Oryctolagus cuniculus: one gene and its partners. The protein of the gene in region 3 interacts with the protein of the main gene of each other region in a biochemical or structural test. Links are inferred from orthologs where the notes say so. Each region holds a gene or a part of one and is shown on either strand. Other genes may lie near its edges. The genes, in order: VRK1, ATXN1 and COIL.

Region 1 (5,340 bases), on a different chromosome or scaffold from region 3:
TTTACTCCATAAAACATTTCACAGTAAAATCACGATCTGAAGAACTTTTAGATGAGACCCTTACCTACATTTAAATACTATATATTAATAAGTCAAGTCTTCATAATTAAAACTGAATTTAATATCATATCCACACACATTTCCGGGCAATTACAACTGGTCTTATTAGCACACAAAGCTAATAAATTTGGCTTTCTTTTATTCCATCGCCACATATTACATCTTTAATTCTGGTAACTGTGACACAGGAATGCATGTGTGCACAAAGAGAAACTGAAAGTAAAAATATGGAGATGGATCCGGCACACACATAAAATGTTAGAAGAACAATCCCATCCAAAGCGCATGCCTAAAGGGTGACCAAGCTGAAAAATCTTTCGATAAAATAAAAAATGTAGCCTGTTGTAGTCAACCGCAAACTGATATATATATAAGTGATACAAGTATTTCTGCTTATTACATTGTACAAATCCAGTCTACTTCAATTAACAATGTCCTCCTTGTTCAGGTTCTCAGCTAACAGAGAAACAGCTAGAACAAGAGGGCTAAAAAGAACTGGATAACTGCCTCCGGCGGTTCCCCATCAGCACACAAGCACAGCATCTTCCTTTTGTTCCATCTGCCGGGACTGACTTTGGGAGAGGAGAAGCAAACCCATGAGATGGTCCGAAAACAACGAGAGTCAAAGGAAAAACCAGACATAAAGACAGGTTTGAGAAAGAAGGATGAAATAGAGAACGCTGAAAAATAATTACATAAAGTGCCCAACACATTTAAAATGTGTAAATCTCCCTTTTATACACGAGATCAAGAGAAAAGGCAGACTTCCCGTGAATTCGCAGGCCCAACTGCGAGTGTCAGCTAAAGCCTCCTTTACCAGGCTCACAGGACAGCTGCACGGAATCACAGGTCCCTCTACTCCAGCTAACGGACCCAGACACAGGCAGGGTACTACTAGCATCTTTTCTTTCCTTAGAAAGTAAATTACAAAGAAAATGTAATAAACTTTAAAAAATGCACGCTGGAATTCTAAACACCAAGCGTATACAAATTTAGACAGCTAAGGTATTTCTGTAAACCAATTGATTTGAACAATCAACATGTTAAAGACCAAATTTTCCAAGTAACAGAACACTTACATTTGATGGATTTCTTGAACAAAGGAAATAAAAAAAGTGACAAAGCAGACAGGCAAACATAATTCATTGGTGTACTATATAATTTTAAGCTTCCACTCCCAAATAGCTATTTGAAATTCATTTTGTATCACAAGTACTTCTTCTGAATATTATTTAGGGCAAAATAGCCAACTTGATAAAGTGCCAACAAACTGCATCGAAACGGAGAATGTTAACTAGATAAAAGTGTCAAGAAGAAATATTATTATCACCATATCTACTTCAAAAAGTAAAACTTCTGCGTGGGTTCAAAAGTTCAAAGCGACCATACTTGTTTCCAAACAACACATTTTAAATAGTAGAAATTAAAGATACACAACTACCTGGTCAGGATTCTTGTAGCTCAGGAGGAGATTCGAGGCCTTGATATCTCCATGTACATACTCATGCTCGTGAATATATTCCAGAATATCCAGCTAGGAAAGCATCACACAGGAGAAATTAATGTAATACCTAACGCCAACCAGCAGAGGACCGAGCTCCAACATGCTAGCCTTTATTAAAAAGAATTCTTTGAAAACAAAAATGTAGCTCACATACAATTCTTAAGCTTAGCTGCAAGACAGTTTTCCGAGAAAACCTTCTGGCATTTGCTTCGTATATTTTCTGAAGGTCACTCCCAAAGCGATCCATTATCATAAACCTGTAACTGAAGACAAACAAGAAAAGTCAATGAACAAAATATAACTCAGGAAAATCTACTTTGCAATGACTAATACCCTTTCAGAGTAATTTGTTCCAAGGCAAAGTTTAGTAAGACAGTATTCTAAAGAAATAACCCAAGAGAAATATAAACGTTTGGAACAATTTCCCCCACTAGAAAGCTCAAGCCCAGCCTACTGCTCTGTCCTCTGTCCCCAGAGGGTCTCCGCTCTCTGCTGGTCACTGCACACAAGACCTGAAGATACCGCTCACAGAAAGAACCCAGCAGATCCATCCACAGGAAAGATAAAGCACTCTGAATAAGAATGAAGGCACCGATTTTTCTCATTAAGTTCATTTATTTTTCTGGATATTAGCTTCCTTCCTGTGATGATTTTTCTCTAATTTTTAAAGTACATTCCAGCAGTATCAACATTCTGTTAAAATAAAGACTGCCAAGGGACGCTGCTGACAACAGCTAAATTCAATCAAAATCACTTAAATGGTAAGAAGGCATAGTATGTTTGACATTCAGTGGGTGAGACTGGAGGGAGAACAAACATGCAGGAAAAAAATGAAGACTTTTGGTTCTGCCAAAAACCAGCTACATCACCTTGGTTAAGTCCCACTAACCCCTGAGCCTCCTGTCCATGGGAGTAAAACGACAGTGAAGACCCACCGTTTCCAAAGTCTTTTCGGTGACTGGGTGCTACAGTTCACAAAGTACTGAAAACATCACTGATGAGCAGTGACCCTGTCCACTGAAAACATCACTGATGAGCAGTGACCCTGTCCACTGAAAACATCACTGATGAGCAGTGACCCTGTCCAGGTTTTGCTCTGAGGACTTCCTTTGTCTTCAACAGTTTTCCAGGTTCCAACTTGTCTGGCTAAATCATTCAATAAACCAACAAAAAACAAGAACACACCCAAAATGTATCAAGGTGCCTCTGGTGGGGAGGAGAGGAAGACGTCCTCACCACTACGGACAGCGCTTACGGAACGCCTGGCCCGAGCAGTACCCTGAGCAACGTGACAGAGGAACGTCCAGCACAGGAAAGTAAGTAATGTGTCCTCGAGTATGCAATGAAGCCAAACTTTGGACCACTGAACCACCAATACTTAAGTAAACATCAGTTGGAAAACAAAATTCCCGCTTGTATGCCTTTATAATAAAAATATAGTATGACAAGTGGAATAGAGAAGGAGAGCTGATTAACACTGAGAGCTAACAAGCCAGTGAATGGGCGTTCAGTCTCGCAGTCAAGGCGCCATGTCCCACACTGCAGTATCCGGGTACAACTCCCAGCTCTGGCTCCTGACTCCAGCTTCCTACTAACCCAGACCCTGGGAAGCAGCAGTGGTGGCTCAGTTAATCAGCTTCCTGCCCACCCTTGGGTGAGATCTGCACTGCATCCCTGGCTCCCAGCTTTAGCCCCAGCCCAGCCCTGGCCATTGTGGGAATTTGGGGAGAAAACCAGCAAATGGGAGCCATTTCTCTGCTGTGCGTGTGTGTGTGTGTGTGTGTGTGTGTGTGGGTGGGTCTCCATCTCCCAAGTAAATAAATGACGACATGCCAAATAAAAAAACTCAGGATTCTACCCCATAAAAATGTACAATTATTATATGTAATTACAAATAAAAAATTTTTAAATTCAGAATTTTATCTGATTTTGAACTAGAGGAGATTTGGAGATCATCTTGTCTACACATCTTTTAATAAATAAAATAATGTTTATGGAGGCAAAATGATTTGTCCAAAGTCAGACAATTAATCAGTGGTAAAATGTGTTAATTCATGTAACATTTCCCAATACCTCTAAGATAATAAAGAGAGAACAATAATTTTGATTTCCTGATTTCCTTTGATATCAGGTTTTGAAAGTTTGAGAGATGACATCAGAACCTATGTTGGCCGGCGCCATGGCTCACTAGGCTAATCCTCCGCCTTGTGGCGCCCGCACATTGGGTTCTAGTCCCGGTTGGGGCGCCGGATTCTGTCCCGGTTGCCCCTCTTCCAGGCCAGCTCTCTGCTGTGGCCAGGGAGTGCAGTGGAGGATGGCCCAAGTGCTTGGGCCCTGCACCCCATGGGAGACCAAGAGAAGCACCTGGCTCCTGCCATCAGATCAGCGCGGTACGCCGGCCACAGCAGCCATTGGAAGGTGAACCAACGGCAAAAGGAAGACCTTTCTCTGTCTCTCTCTCTCACTGTCCACTCTGCCTGTCAAAAAAAAAAAAAAAAAAAAAAAAGAACCTATGTTCTTGTTTTCTTCTACATATAAATGACATCTGCAATTTTAATAATAGAGGTAACAAAAATACAACCTCTGCTGACAGCCTGAACGAAGACTAAAACGCAACTGCTTAATCTGATATGGAATCTAATAACACACCACATTAAGTAGACCTTTGCTTTCGTTCGCATAGCACCCACCACTACTCTAAACAACCCCTTAATCTCATATTTCTAAATTATAAACATCAACTGAAGCAGGATCCATGAATTGCATGGAAGCTGTCACCACATGCTAGTCAAAGACGGCTCCACCGCTGAGCAGCCAAACTGAAGTCATCTCTGAACAACCGCTAAAGCAAGACCCGTGAAGTACACATCTTCTGGGGACTTGGATAAAATGACACAAGAAACGGGAAAATATTAAATGAGAATAAAATAATCTGATGATGATAGCTAACATTTTTACTATCTTAACACTGTGTGTATTAATTTAAATGAGTCAGAGACAAGTGAAGATTTCTGATGGGGAGGAAGACAGAAGAGTGATCTTACTTTCTGTTTCTCTACTCTTTATAAAGACTTATAGCCGGCGCCGGCACCCCGGGTTCTAGTCCCGGTTGGGGTGCCGGATTCTGTCCCGGTTGCCCCTCTTCCAGGCCAGCTCTCTGCTGTGGCCCAGGAGTGCAGTGGAGGATGGCCCAAGTGCTTGGGCCCTGCACCCCATGGGAGACCAGGAGAAGCACCTGGCTCCTGCCATCGGATCAGCACGGTGCACCGGCCGCAGCGGCCATTGGAAGGTGAACCAACGGCAAAAGGAAGACCTTTCTCTCTGTCTCTCTCTCACTGTCCACTCTGCCTGTCAAAAAAAAAAAAAAAAAAAGACTTATGAATACTTTTAAGAGCTTCCACTGAAAAAGTAAATCGATGCCTTACACATTGTTTCTGAAGAAGATTTTTTTTTTTTAAAGATTTATTTGAAAAGCAGAGTAACAGACCGGCAGAAGCAGAGAGAAATCTTCCATCCACTGGTTCACGCCCTAAATGGCCACAATGGCCAGAGCTGAGCCAGTCCCAAGCCAGGAGCCTCTTCAGGGTCTCCCTTACTGGTGTGGGCCCAAGCACTTGAGCTATCTTCTACTACTTTCCCAGGCCACAGCAGAAAGCTAGATGGAAAGTGGAGCAGCCAGGACTCGAACCAGCGCCCATATGGGATGCCAACGCCATAGGCAGAGCCTAGCCCACTACGCCACAGCACCGGCCCCAGAAGACATTTCTAACAACCTC
Region 2 (5,340 bases), on a different chromosome or scaffold from region 3:
TGAAAGCAGTGGCACCCGTGCTGTCCATTGCCATGGACTCTTAAGTAGGACTGCAAAGACACAAAGACTTTGCCAACTCAGCGCGAGAGCTCCTGGTGCTCTCACTGCTGGGTGGTCTGCATCTACCTTTCTGGAGCCACAAGGCTAGGATCGGACTGGTTCTCCTAGCACTGCACAGAACCAGCGAGGGTGTTCCCTCACCCCAGCCCCAGCCCCCCATCATGGTGCAAGCTGTGTTGGGGGTGGGAAGGGTGATACGGGCAGGGCCTCCCTGCCCACAGCGACACCCTTGGCGACATCACTGCACTAGTAAAGCAGAAATGAAATCCCACGTGTGGCAGTTGCTCTTTAAAAAAAAGAAATATGTATCAGTGCAGTCAAGGCCCCATAGGGGGAAATATATCTCTATATGATTAAAAGTTGCTTTTATTGTAAAATGTGTTGGAGAGAAAAACGTTCTTTGAAACGGAGAGCTTTCCTTTCCATCTGCCGCCTGCCCTGAAGCTGGGGTCCTGATGTTGACTTTGAATGTGGGAACCCCAGGAGGATGCTGCTCTGTACCGCCCCCTACCCCCAGCCCCCGCTGAAGGCAAGAGGGCAGCACAGAGGGAGGCAGGGGCCGAGAGACCCTCTCACCCGCCCGCTGTGGCCCCCACGCACCCTCACAGGCACACGCCCCTCTACCCCTGCAGGTCCCTTCCCATTGGCCTCTCTCGGGACCCCGGCGGGCCCGGGCACCTGCCGGCTGCTGCCCTGCCTGCCAGTGGCCCACCCGCCACTCCCCGACAGACACTCGCGGACAAAGCGTATGCACCAGTCTCCTGCGACACACCTGCTGTAACTGTAATGACAAGGTTAGAACAGAAATCTAAAGTAAGAGGATAACATGTAAATACTGTGTTATTTAGCCTACAGTACAGTAATCTGGATACGAAGGAAGGGCACGGGACGGCCGCGGCGCCTCGTCCGCTCTGCCTCTACTTGCCCACGTTAGACCGGCCCTCGATGCAAATCTTGACCTCCTGAGGAATCAGAGAAGGCTTGGGAAGAGTCAAAGGCGGCTCGTCCTCCGACTTCTCCAGTTTGCGGGTCTCCGGCGCCGACCACCTCCTCTTCCTCGCGGCCGCGGGCCTGCTGGGTTCTACTTTCGTGAAGAAGGGTGCTGCGGGCAAGCCCATCTTCTCTGGAAACTTCAGTTCACCGTTCTCAGACAGCATCTGAGCGCTTCCCTGATTGAGCCCGTTCTCCTGCTCGGCGTACCTGTGTCTGCTGCCCGCCAGGCTGTCGGTCTTTGAGCGCTTCAGCAGGACACTGGCAGCATCTGCGGGCTGGCCCTTTTTAACAGAGCCATTCTTGGCGTTCTTGAGGGTGAGCGAGATGCAGACGTCACCTACTGAGAGTCTGGAACACGGCAGATCAAAGAGCTGGCTGGTTCTCTCCGGGCAGCAGGACGACCAGCCCTGTCCAAACACAAAAAAAGGATACTCGACCAAGACTTCCACGCTGACCTGTGGGAACAGGGAGAGACAGAGAGGCAGACAGGAGGGAAACCAGTGAGAGCTCTGTATGATTTCCTTCCTTCCCTTCCTTCCCTTCCTTCCCTTCCTTCCCTTCCTTCCCTTCCTTCCCTTCCTTCCCTTCCTTCCCTTCCTTCCCTTCCTTCCCTTCCTTCCCTTCCTTCCCTTCCTTCCCTTCCTTCCCTTCCTTCCCTTCCTTCCCTTCCTTCCTTCCTTCCTTCCTTCCTTCCTTCCTTCCTTCCTTCCTTCCTTCCTTCCTTCCTTCCTCCCCCACTCACACACACACACACAGGCTGCATGTTAATAAATTAGACTCCACTAACAAACTTCCCTTCCCTAGCAACACAACACAATGAGGCCCTTTGCTGCCTGTTGTATCTGCGTTTACTACATAGAGAAGCTGGGCAGGAGCCAATGCAGAAAACGGTCCAGTGAAAAGGTCCATTCAGTATCCAAATACTTCACTTAGCATTAGCTCTATCCCTGGTCTCTGTTAAAACAAGTCAGCTGGGGGTCAGCATTGTGGTACAGCAGGGTTCAGCCGCCGGTGGCAATGCTGGGCTCTCATAGGAGCACGAGTGTGTGGGCTGGTGGCTCTGCTTCCAATCCTGCTCCATGCCAGAGGTGGGGCTACAAGGAGACATTTAAGTATCACAAACAAAGGCAAGGAGAGGGTACGGGATGGGTATTTGCAAAATAGCCAAAGTCTGAAAGGCACCCGATGCTTTTAAGAGTTTAATTCTCATGAAATTAAATTTATTCAACATTATAAAAAATTTAGAGAGAGAGCAATGAAGTAGTTTAAAAAGTCAATTTTCAATGGCTGTTTGAGATGTATTAGACTAGGCAATTTTGGAACAAGCTTCCTACTAAGGAAAACTGGAAGCTGTCAACAACAACAACAAAAATACCATAAAAACAACAAAATTAAAAATTCTGAAGAAAATGTTAAAAAGCATTTTTATCAGGGCCAGTGTTGTGGTGTTGATGCCAGCATGCCATGTTGGTGCCAGTATGAGTCCCAGCTGCTCCACTTCTGATCCAACTCCCTGCTAATGGCCTAGAAAAAGCAGTGGAGGGTGGATCAAGGGTTCAGGCCCCTGCCACCCATTTGGGAGACCCAGAAGAAGCTCCTGGCTTCAGCCTGGCTCAGCCCCAGCCATTGCAGCCATCTCAGGAGTGAACCAGCAGATGACGATCTGTCTGTCTCTCACTCTCTCTGTGTAACTTTCAAGCAAATAAATAAATGAATAAATAATTAAAAAAACACTGTTTAAAGGCACTGGACAGAAATAAGACAGTAAAAAACTTAACTGTGTCAAACCAGAAAAGGATATGATAGCCCACAGATTTGAACCTGGTGGTGTTCCAAGCCAACTTTGAATATTTCAAAGTAGAGCAGTTATAAGATTAAGTGGGCTTCTGGGAATCTCAATAGCATTTTGTGTGTGTGTGTAATGCAGTGCAGGGTACACCAAGGGACGGTGATCTTTGGTGAACCCCGCTTTTTTTTTAAGATTTATTTTATTTATTTGAAAGACAGAGTTACAGAGAGAGGTAGAGACAGAGAGAAAGTCTTCCATCTACTGGTTCACTCCCCAGATGCCCACAATGGCCAGAGCTGCGCCAATCTGAAGCCAGGAGCCAGGAGCCAGGAGCTTCTTCTGGGTCTCCAACTTGGGTGCAGGGGCCCAAGCACTTGGGCCATCCTCCACTGCTTTCCCAGGCCACAGCAGAGAGCTGGATTGGAAGTGGAGCAACCGGGACTAGAACTGGCGCCTATATGGGATGCCGGGCGCTTCAGGCCAGGACATTAACCCACTGTGCCACAGCACCGGCCCCGAACCCCGATTTTTAACCTCTGATCCCAAACACTATGCCTTAAAAGTAAGGGTGCATCAGAAGTGGATAGGCCTTCCAAGGTCTGAAGTCAAATCTTAATCATCTCAGTCTCTAACACTGGATTCAGCTCTTGAATTATTTCCACACTGTTGCAAATACTACATTACCATTCAATTTTGAAAAGGGAGGAAGAATGAGGAGACCAAGAGAGAAGCAAAACTAATAAAGACAAAACATCTGATCATAAGAACAGACCCACAGGGGCTTCTGGTAATCACCAGAGACTTAAAAATGACCCTGCTTACAATATTTCAGGAGATGAAACACAAGCTTGAGGAGTGGGGAGAAAACTAGAATCTTAATTTTTTAAATGATATATTTATTTATTTGAAAGGCAGAGAGAGAGAGAGAGAAAGAGAAAGAAAGAGAGAGAGAGGTCTTCTATCCATCTACTGGTTCACACCCCCAGATGGCTGCAATGGCTGGAGCTGGGCCAATCTGAAGCCAGGAGCTTCTTCCAGGTTTCCCACGGGGGTGCAGGGGACCAAGAACTTGGACCATCTTCCATTGCTTTCCCAAGGCCATAGCAGAGAGCTGGATCGGAAGTGGAGCAGCCGGGACTTGAACTGGCATCCATACAGGATGCCGGCACTGCAGCCAGCGGCTTTACCCGTTATGCCTGCCCCAAGTCTAATTTATTTTTAAAATATTTCTGGACACTCTAGAATGAAAGCACTATATTCACTAAGATCAAGATAATTTTCCAGCTGAATAGACACAGTTGAAGAAAGAATTAGTGAACTGGGTTCTGTAATTGGATTCTGAACTAGATTAAGAGCTTTAGAAGAAACTACAAAAAATGAATCAAAGGTACAAAAAAAGGGGGGGGGCTAATTCAGAGGAGAGCCTAAGAGACAGAAGATACATTGAGAAGGTCTAATAGATGCACAATTTGAATCCTAGGAGGAAAGAGAACTAATACTTGAATTTTCCCAGACTAACAAGAGGGAAGTCACAAACTCAAGAAGACTTAGCCCCAAGAAAGAAGAGTGAGGAAATATCCTCACCCAAGCAGGTTATAGTTAAACTGCTCTAAGCCAGAGACAGGAAAGAAAAATCTTAAAAGCCTCCAGATCAAACAGACATTACCTCAAATCAGTAACAATTACATTCACACTCTCCGTCAACAAAAATAATGGGAGCCGGAAGACAATGGAATATCTTTAAAGTGCTGAGGTAACAGAGTTGCCAATCAAGCATTCTATACAGAGCACAAAGCTTCTTCAAGAATGAAGGCAAAATAAAGACGTTTCAGACAAACAGTAATTAAGGGAACTCACCAGCAACAGAACTGCTCTACAGAAAATACTAGAGTAAGCTTTCAGAAGGAAAAAAAAAAAAACCCACAAAGAATCTAGAGAGAGGTTTGTAGATGCAGGGAGAAATGAAGAGCAAGGAAACGGGAGCTATGTGGGTAAATCCAAATAAGCATCGGCTCTATACAATAGTGAAAATGTCCACTGAACTTCATACACTTGCATTATACCTACTCATAAACCATTAAATACTAATACAACTGTGGAAAGTAATAAATTTCCATGGAATGGACATGGAGTGTGACTCTTCTGCTTAACCTTCTGTATCTTCTTTGACAACTCTGATCATTTTAGTTAAATACACACTTCTTGAATGACAAGGTTTACTGGAAGCAGATAAATGTGTTCAGATAGGACAGCTGGAGAGAATCCGTGTGGAAGCCCACTTCTGTTGTGTGTGTATGAGCATGAGCCTACACACAAGTGTACACATCTGGGGAAAAGTTTCATAATCATTCGGGGCTGTTTATTTTAAAAATTATTTATTTTCATTTTATTTGAAAGGGAGGTAGGGAGAGGAGGGAGGAGGTAAGAGAGGCAGGTGGGTAGATCTTCCACCTACTAGTTCACTCCTCAAATGGCCATAACAGTCAGGGATGGGCCAG
Region 3 (5,340 bases):
ACAGCATTTTTAAAGTGGTGTTCCTAATTCCTGGAAATAATTCTTTTCTGTTTTCATCAGTTCATATAACTTTTGATGAAAGTACATATTAAAGCAGTTAGAATTTGCCCAACTCCTCTTAGACTGCCAGTGATCTGGCTAAGAGGAGTATAGCACAGAGGGGCACAGATATCGCCAGTCAGCGAGGCCGGCTAAGTGGCAGCCATAGATGTTTCTTTATTGGCTATTTAGAAACCACCACAGGTATGTACAGGCTAAATGTTTAAATTCATTTCTAAAAGACTCACCAGGTAAGGATGAAAGAATTTCTATATCTACTTGCTGGGTCTCTGGATTGTGGCTTAGTATTTTTCCTTCCTTTCAAAAATAAAAGTCCGAGTCAAATATCAACACATATAACATGGTATGTATACTTAAAACCACTGAATTACAGACTGTAAACTGGTAAATTCTTTGTTACATGAATTTTAACTCAATAAAAAATTTAAATAAATCAATGTGCAGGGGAAATTAAGCTGCTGCTCATGAAGCCGACATCCCACATCGGAGCACCAGTTCCAGTCCTGTCTGCTTCATTTCGAATCCAGCTCCCTGCTAATGTGCCTGGGAAAGCAGAGGAAGATGGCCCAAGTGTTAGGGCCCTGGCTGCCATGTGGGAGACCAGGATGGAGCTCTTGGCTTCTGGCTTCAGCCTGGCCCAGCCGTTTGGGGAGTGAGCCAGCAGATCGAAGATCTCTCTCCCTCTCTTAACCCCTCTCTCTGATAAACACTTTGAACACACAAAATTACCCTCAGAAGCAAAATAGATACATTTAAATCACAAATGGCAGACACTGACCTAAAGAACACAAAAGTAAAGATTAGACTAGGTCATCAAAGTGACTGAATAGAAGAAAGAGGAAAAGCATGGGCCAGCATGATTAACTCAGATGAGGTTTGCTCGTGACAACATCAGGGAAGGCCACACATGTCCCAACTGGGCCTCTTTTACAAGTGGTAGTAAGCTGCAAGCAGAAAGTCCCTTTGTCACTGACAGCATTAGAGGTCCCTTCCTCCAGGTCCCCAGCTTTGGGAGCTGGTTTTCAAATGCATCAAGAGGGTGCACTGCCCTGTGCATGTGGGTGGTGGTGAGACAGACCGGCAGCCTTTGGAGGCACCCAGTGAGGCCCACCAGTCAGTTCCTCCTGCTTCTACCCAGCTTTTCTGGGCACAGCCAACAGTGGTGTTTAAAACCAACCAAATGGTGGCCAGGAGTCTGGGAGACTATATCTTTGAGGATAGATCTGACTTCTGGAGATGAGCTTAACGAATAAAGCAGATGATCAAGCTCGATTTCAGCATCTGAGGTCAAAGCAAAAGAGTGGGACCAACTGTAATTCTTAAAATGGTTTTGAATGTGATTTCAAAACTCTCCAAAAAATATTGGGAACTAAAGTAAGCAGACAGCCTGCCAAGGAAATAACTATGGTGACTAGTACCAATTTAATACACAATAAATCATATGATCTAGAACTATAATTGGCAGAGGTTATTAAATTTATCAATTCAATATTCATTGCCATTTCGTCAAATATCACAGAAAATCAGTTATCTATGGTGGGGTAACACAACACCCTGGGCTGTCCAAGATAGTCCAGAACAACTTTCCTTCCAGCATTACTAATTATTACATTAAAAATATAGACTGACAGGCTGGCATTGTGGCATAACGCATTAAGCTGCCACCTGCAACACTAGCATCCCATGTGGGTACTGGTTCAAGACCCGGCTGCTCCACTTCTGATCCAGCTCCCTGTTAATGCACCTGGGAAAGCAGTAGCAGATGACCCAAGTGCTTGGGCCCCTGCATCTATGTGGAAGACCTGGATGAAGCTCCTGGCTCCTGTTGGTGTGACCATTTGGGGAGTGAACCAGTATATAGAAGATTTCTCTCTATCTCTCTCTTTCTCTATGTAATTCTACCTTTCAAATAAATAAAAATAAATCTAAATAAATAAATAAAATTTTTAATGCTTATAATTCTACATATTATACCAAAAAAGAAAGTATACATTTTAACTTTTTAACTGACATATACCAAAAAAGACTTTTTAACTGACATAAAAATTGTACATATTAGGAGTATGTATTTATTTTAGTAAGATTATATCAAAATTTTGTTGGTTGAAAAAAAGGGAAGGAAACATAATCTCACTGTGACAAGCTTTTACTGAACAATGAAAAACTTGTATGACAGAGTCTCATACAGATATAAAGAGAGTAAATTCCAAGGATGACTGTGAACTACATGGTTAAGTGATGATGCAAAGATATCATATTAGACCATAATAATCAGAAGACATTTACAAATACATGAAATAGATGCTTATAATAAAAATAATCTTTTCCAGGTGAGAGCTATTTATTATTTTCATAATATGGTCTTTCAAAATTTAGGCTCATGAGGGAGTGGATTTTCAAATAAGTATGTGTTGAAATTGATTAGGAAAAAAAATCAAGCTCATCAATTTTTATTCTATATTCTTCTCAAGTGCCAGGAAAACAGCATGGACAGAATTCAGCTGTTCAGAAGTTTATAGGTTGATGTTTACATTTTCTACATTACTTTATGACACTGTTCACTCAAAAAATTCTATACTATTCATTTAAGTAGCATTATCTACAATTTTCATTTTATTAATATACTGAAAACTTAATTATTTTTAAATAAACAACTTTACCTTGTAGTCAGAGACATCAGGAGAGTAATTGGATGTTAGTTCCAAAAGCTACAGAAGAAAAAAGTCACAAATACCAAGCTCTTGTACACTTTCACATTCCCACAGCTCCTCCCTCCTACCCGAGAAAATCGTGAAATGTAAAGGTGCCCACACAAGCCAGGGGAACTCTATCATCAACCAGTGAGAAGGGCTCTTATAAATATTATTTAATGTGACTAGACGAGTGAAGTTTGTTTGGAAATGGAGTTAACCATTTTGGTTACAATCACTGCTGTTTTAAAATATACCTTGGGGGGGGGGCTTTTCATCTAACAGCTAAGACACCATTTAAGACAGTCGCATCCCCTTACTGGAATGCCTGGATTTGATGCCTGACTCTGGTTCCTGATTCCAACTTCCTGCCAATGCAGACCCTGAGAGGCACAGTGACAGCTTAGGGACTGAGTTTCCCGCCACCCACATTGGGTTGAGTTCCAGGCTCCCAGCTTTGGCCTGGCCCAGACAATGGGGGCATTTGGGGAGTGAACGAGTAGATGGGAGCTCTCTGTGTCTCTTAAATACATAAAATCTTTAAATAAATAAATAAAATAAAGCATACCTTAAATGCAATCTTTTCTCCAACCTGAGGGGCAGCTGCTAAGAGTGGTAACAGACTATAATCCTTCTTGTGTGTCTCTACTGGATTCTGAAAAACAGCATTAGTCAAGTGACTGGTATTTGTAAAAAAACGTAAACTCATGACATGAACTCCAGATACACTCCATGGGAAAGTGGGGGAGGTAAGCTACAACCAATCATACCTACCTGGATAAAAGTAGATGCGTTTGTTATCATTTCATTTAATTGCTTCTGCTTCTGATAGTCAGCATTTCTGTTTACAACACCAGACACAGCCTGCCCTCGCCCTCGCCCTCTCCCCCGCGCGCCCCGACCTCTGGCTCCCTTCCAAGAAAGAAGGTCCTCTCCTCGACCCCATCCTCTTCCTAGACTGGAGGGGAGAGTCGCAACAGAGGGAGGACCGGGAGCCTGTCTGCCACCGCTTAAGTCAGAATACTTCCAGCTGGCAGCAGGTGGCACCTGTGAGGACAGCCCTGGACCTGGGCAGCCTCTCCCTGGGAAGAGGCCAGCCGTCTTGAAGAGCCCCGAGGCACTCTCGGGAGTGCTCTTAGACAGCAGGCACTGGTCATCCGACTCTGAACTCGAGTCTGAACTAGACGAGGATGTTCTGGTGGTCTTGCCCTGGCTCGGAGTAAGGCTAAAGCCACCTTTTGCAGGCAGTTTGTTTGCAGTCGTATTTTTTGTAGAGGATCCTTCCTTTGCTAACTCAGTGGGAATTTTCTCTGAGGAATTTCTGGCCTCCGAAGTGACATTGCTGAGCCCATCACTGGTGGATTCGTGACAAGACTCCGACTCCGAGGAGGAACTGGGGCTGTCTTTTGAAACAGTGCCTACACCAGCTTTCCTTCTGGCTTTCGCCAGGCTGTTCTTAGCAGGACTTTTTGGAGTACTACAGTTCTGGGCGGTCCACTCTTTTACCACGGGCACTTTGGGAGACTTGGAATTCTTGGTCTGCTTTTTATATTCACATTTCTCTTTTTTCTTTGGTGATTTCCTTTGGGTTTCTTCATCATTGTCATCCATCGTGCCACATGCTGCTTTGTTCTTTCTCTTGTTTTTTTTCCCCACAGCCTGCTCTGTGACTGCTTTTGTGTGCGGAACCAAGGCCTTCTCATTATTACTACTGTTTTCTTGCCTTTTCCAATGCTTCTTTGAATACTTGCAATCTATGTCACTTTCTTCGTTCTCCTCCAACTTAAATGCCCGCTTCTTTGCTTTTCTAGGTAAAAAATGAGTACTATCACCATTCCTGACTACTACAGAATTCTCAGCAACTCCTCTCTCTTCTAATTTAACTCTGTCAAAAGAACAAAAGAGAAAGCTAGAGTGAGCACTGCATAAATACATCCCAAGGACTTAGTTATACACCAAGATGATGCTACAAACTTAGTACCACCAGTCCATGAAAAAATGTTGCATCACTTAACACACAAAGGACGCCTTTTGACAAAATGGCCTAGACAGCATCACTTATGGTCAACTTTCAAATGGTTGGTCTTGTTTGACTACTGACTGCATCCCAAACATCTTCTATGGATCACCTCTCATCTAAACACCACTACAGAGGAGAGTCTGTCACGTCACAGAGTCTGTCACACGATTACATCTCAGACAAGCAACCTGCCCAGAATCCACAGCTGACAAGTAGCAGAAAAGCAATTTAATTCTCAATCTAATTTCAACACTCAACTTTCCACTACATGTATGTTACCAACCCTAAAAGATGATTATCCATTTTTGTTTTTGGAATGTTGAGTTGCCTTTTTATGTTGAGGGGCCAGTGTTGTGGCATAGTGGATAAAGCTGTCACCTCCAGTGCTGGCATCCCATATGGGCACTAGTTCGAGTCCCAACTGCTCCACTACCAATCCAGCTCTCTGCACCCACGTGAGAGACCTGGAAGAAGCTCCTGGCTCCTGGCTTCAGATCGATGCAGCCCCGGCCGTTGCAGCCAACTGGGGAGTGAACCAGCAGATGGAAGACCTCTCTCTCTCTCTCTCTC

What was found.
Region 1: of the proteins of COIL (region 3) and VRK1, one has a biochemical effect on the other in vitro, tested with the Homo sapiens proteins (2 studies listed by BioGRID and IntAct, with this or other methods). The link is inferred for Oryctolagus cuniculus from reciprocal best matches to the Homo sapiens genes COIL and VRK1.
Region 2: the proteins of COIL (region 3) and ATXN1 form a complex in vitro, tested with the Homo sapiens proteins (2 studies listed by BioGRID). The link is inferred for Oryctolagus cuniculus from reciprocal best matches to the Homo sapiens genes COIL and ATXN1.

What each region holds. Positions count from the first base shown.
Region 1 is NC_091451.1:41,129,873-41,135,212, reverse strand, and holds part of VRK1 (serine/threonine-protein kinase VRK1), read right to left. Parts: intron 1,828-5,340; coding exon 1,719-1,827; intron 1,595-1,718; coding exon 1,502-1,594; intron 1-1,501. UniProt on the Homo sapiens protein: Serine/threonine kinase involved in the regulation of key cellular processes including the cell cycle, nuclear condensation, transcription regulation, and DNA damage response.
Region 2 is NC_091436.1:143,605,154-143,610,493, forward strand, and holds part of ATXN1 (ataxin-1), read right to left. Parts: intron 1,509-5,340; coding exon 978-1,508; 3' UTR 1-977. UniProt on the Homo sapiens protein: Chromatin-binding factor that repress Notch signaling in the absence of Notch intracellular domain by acting as a CBF1 corepressor. Binds to the HEY promoter and might assist, along with NCOR2, RBPJ-mediated repression. Binds RNA in vitro.
Region 3 is NC_091448.1:32,535,236-32,540,575, forward strand, and holds part of COIL (coilin), read right to left. Parts: intron 4,636-5,340; coding exon 3,525-4,635; intron 3,406-3,524; coding exon 3,319-3,405; intron 2,769-3,318; coding exon 2,721-2,768; intron 358-2,720; coding exon 288-357; intron 1-287. UniProt on the Homo sapiens protein: Component of nuclear coiled bodies, also known as Cajal bodies or CBs, which are involved in the modification and assembly of nucleoplasmic snRNPs.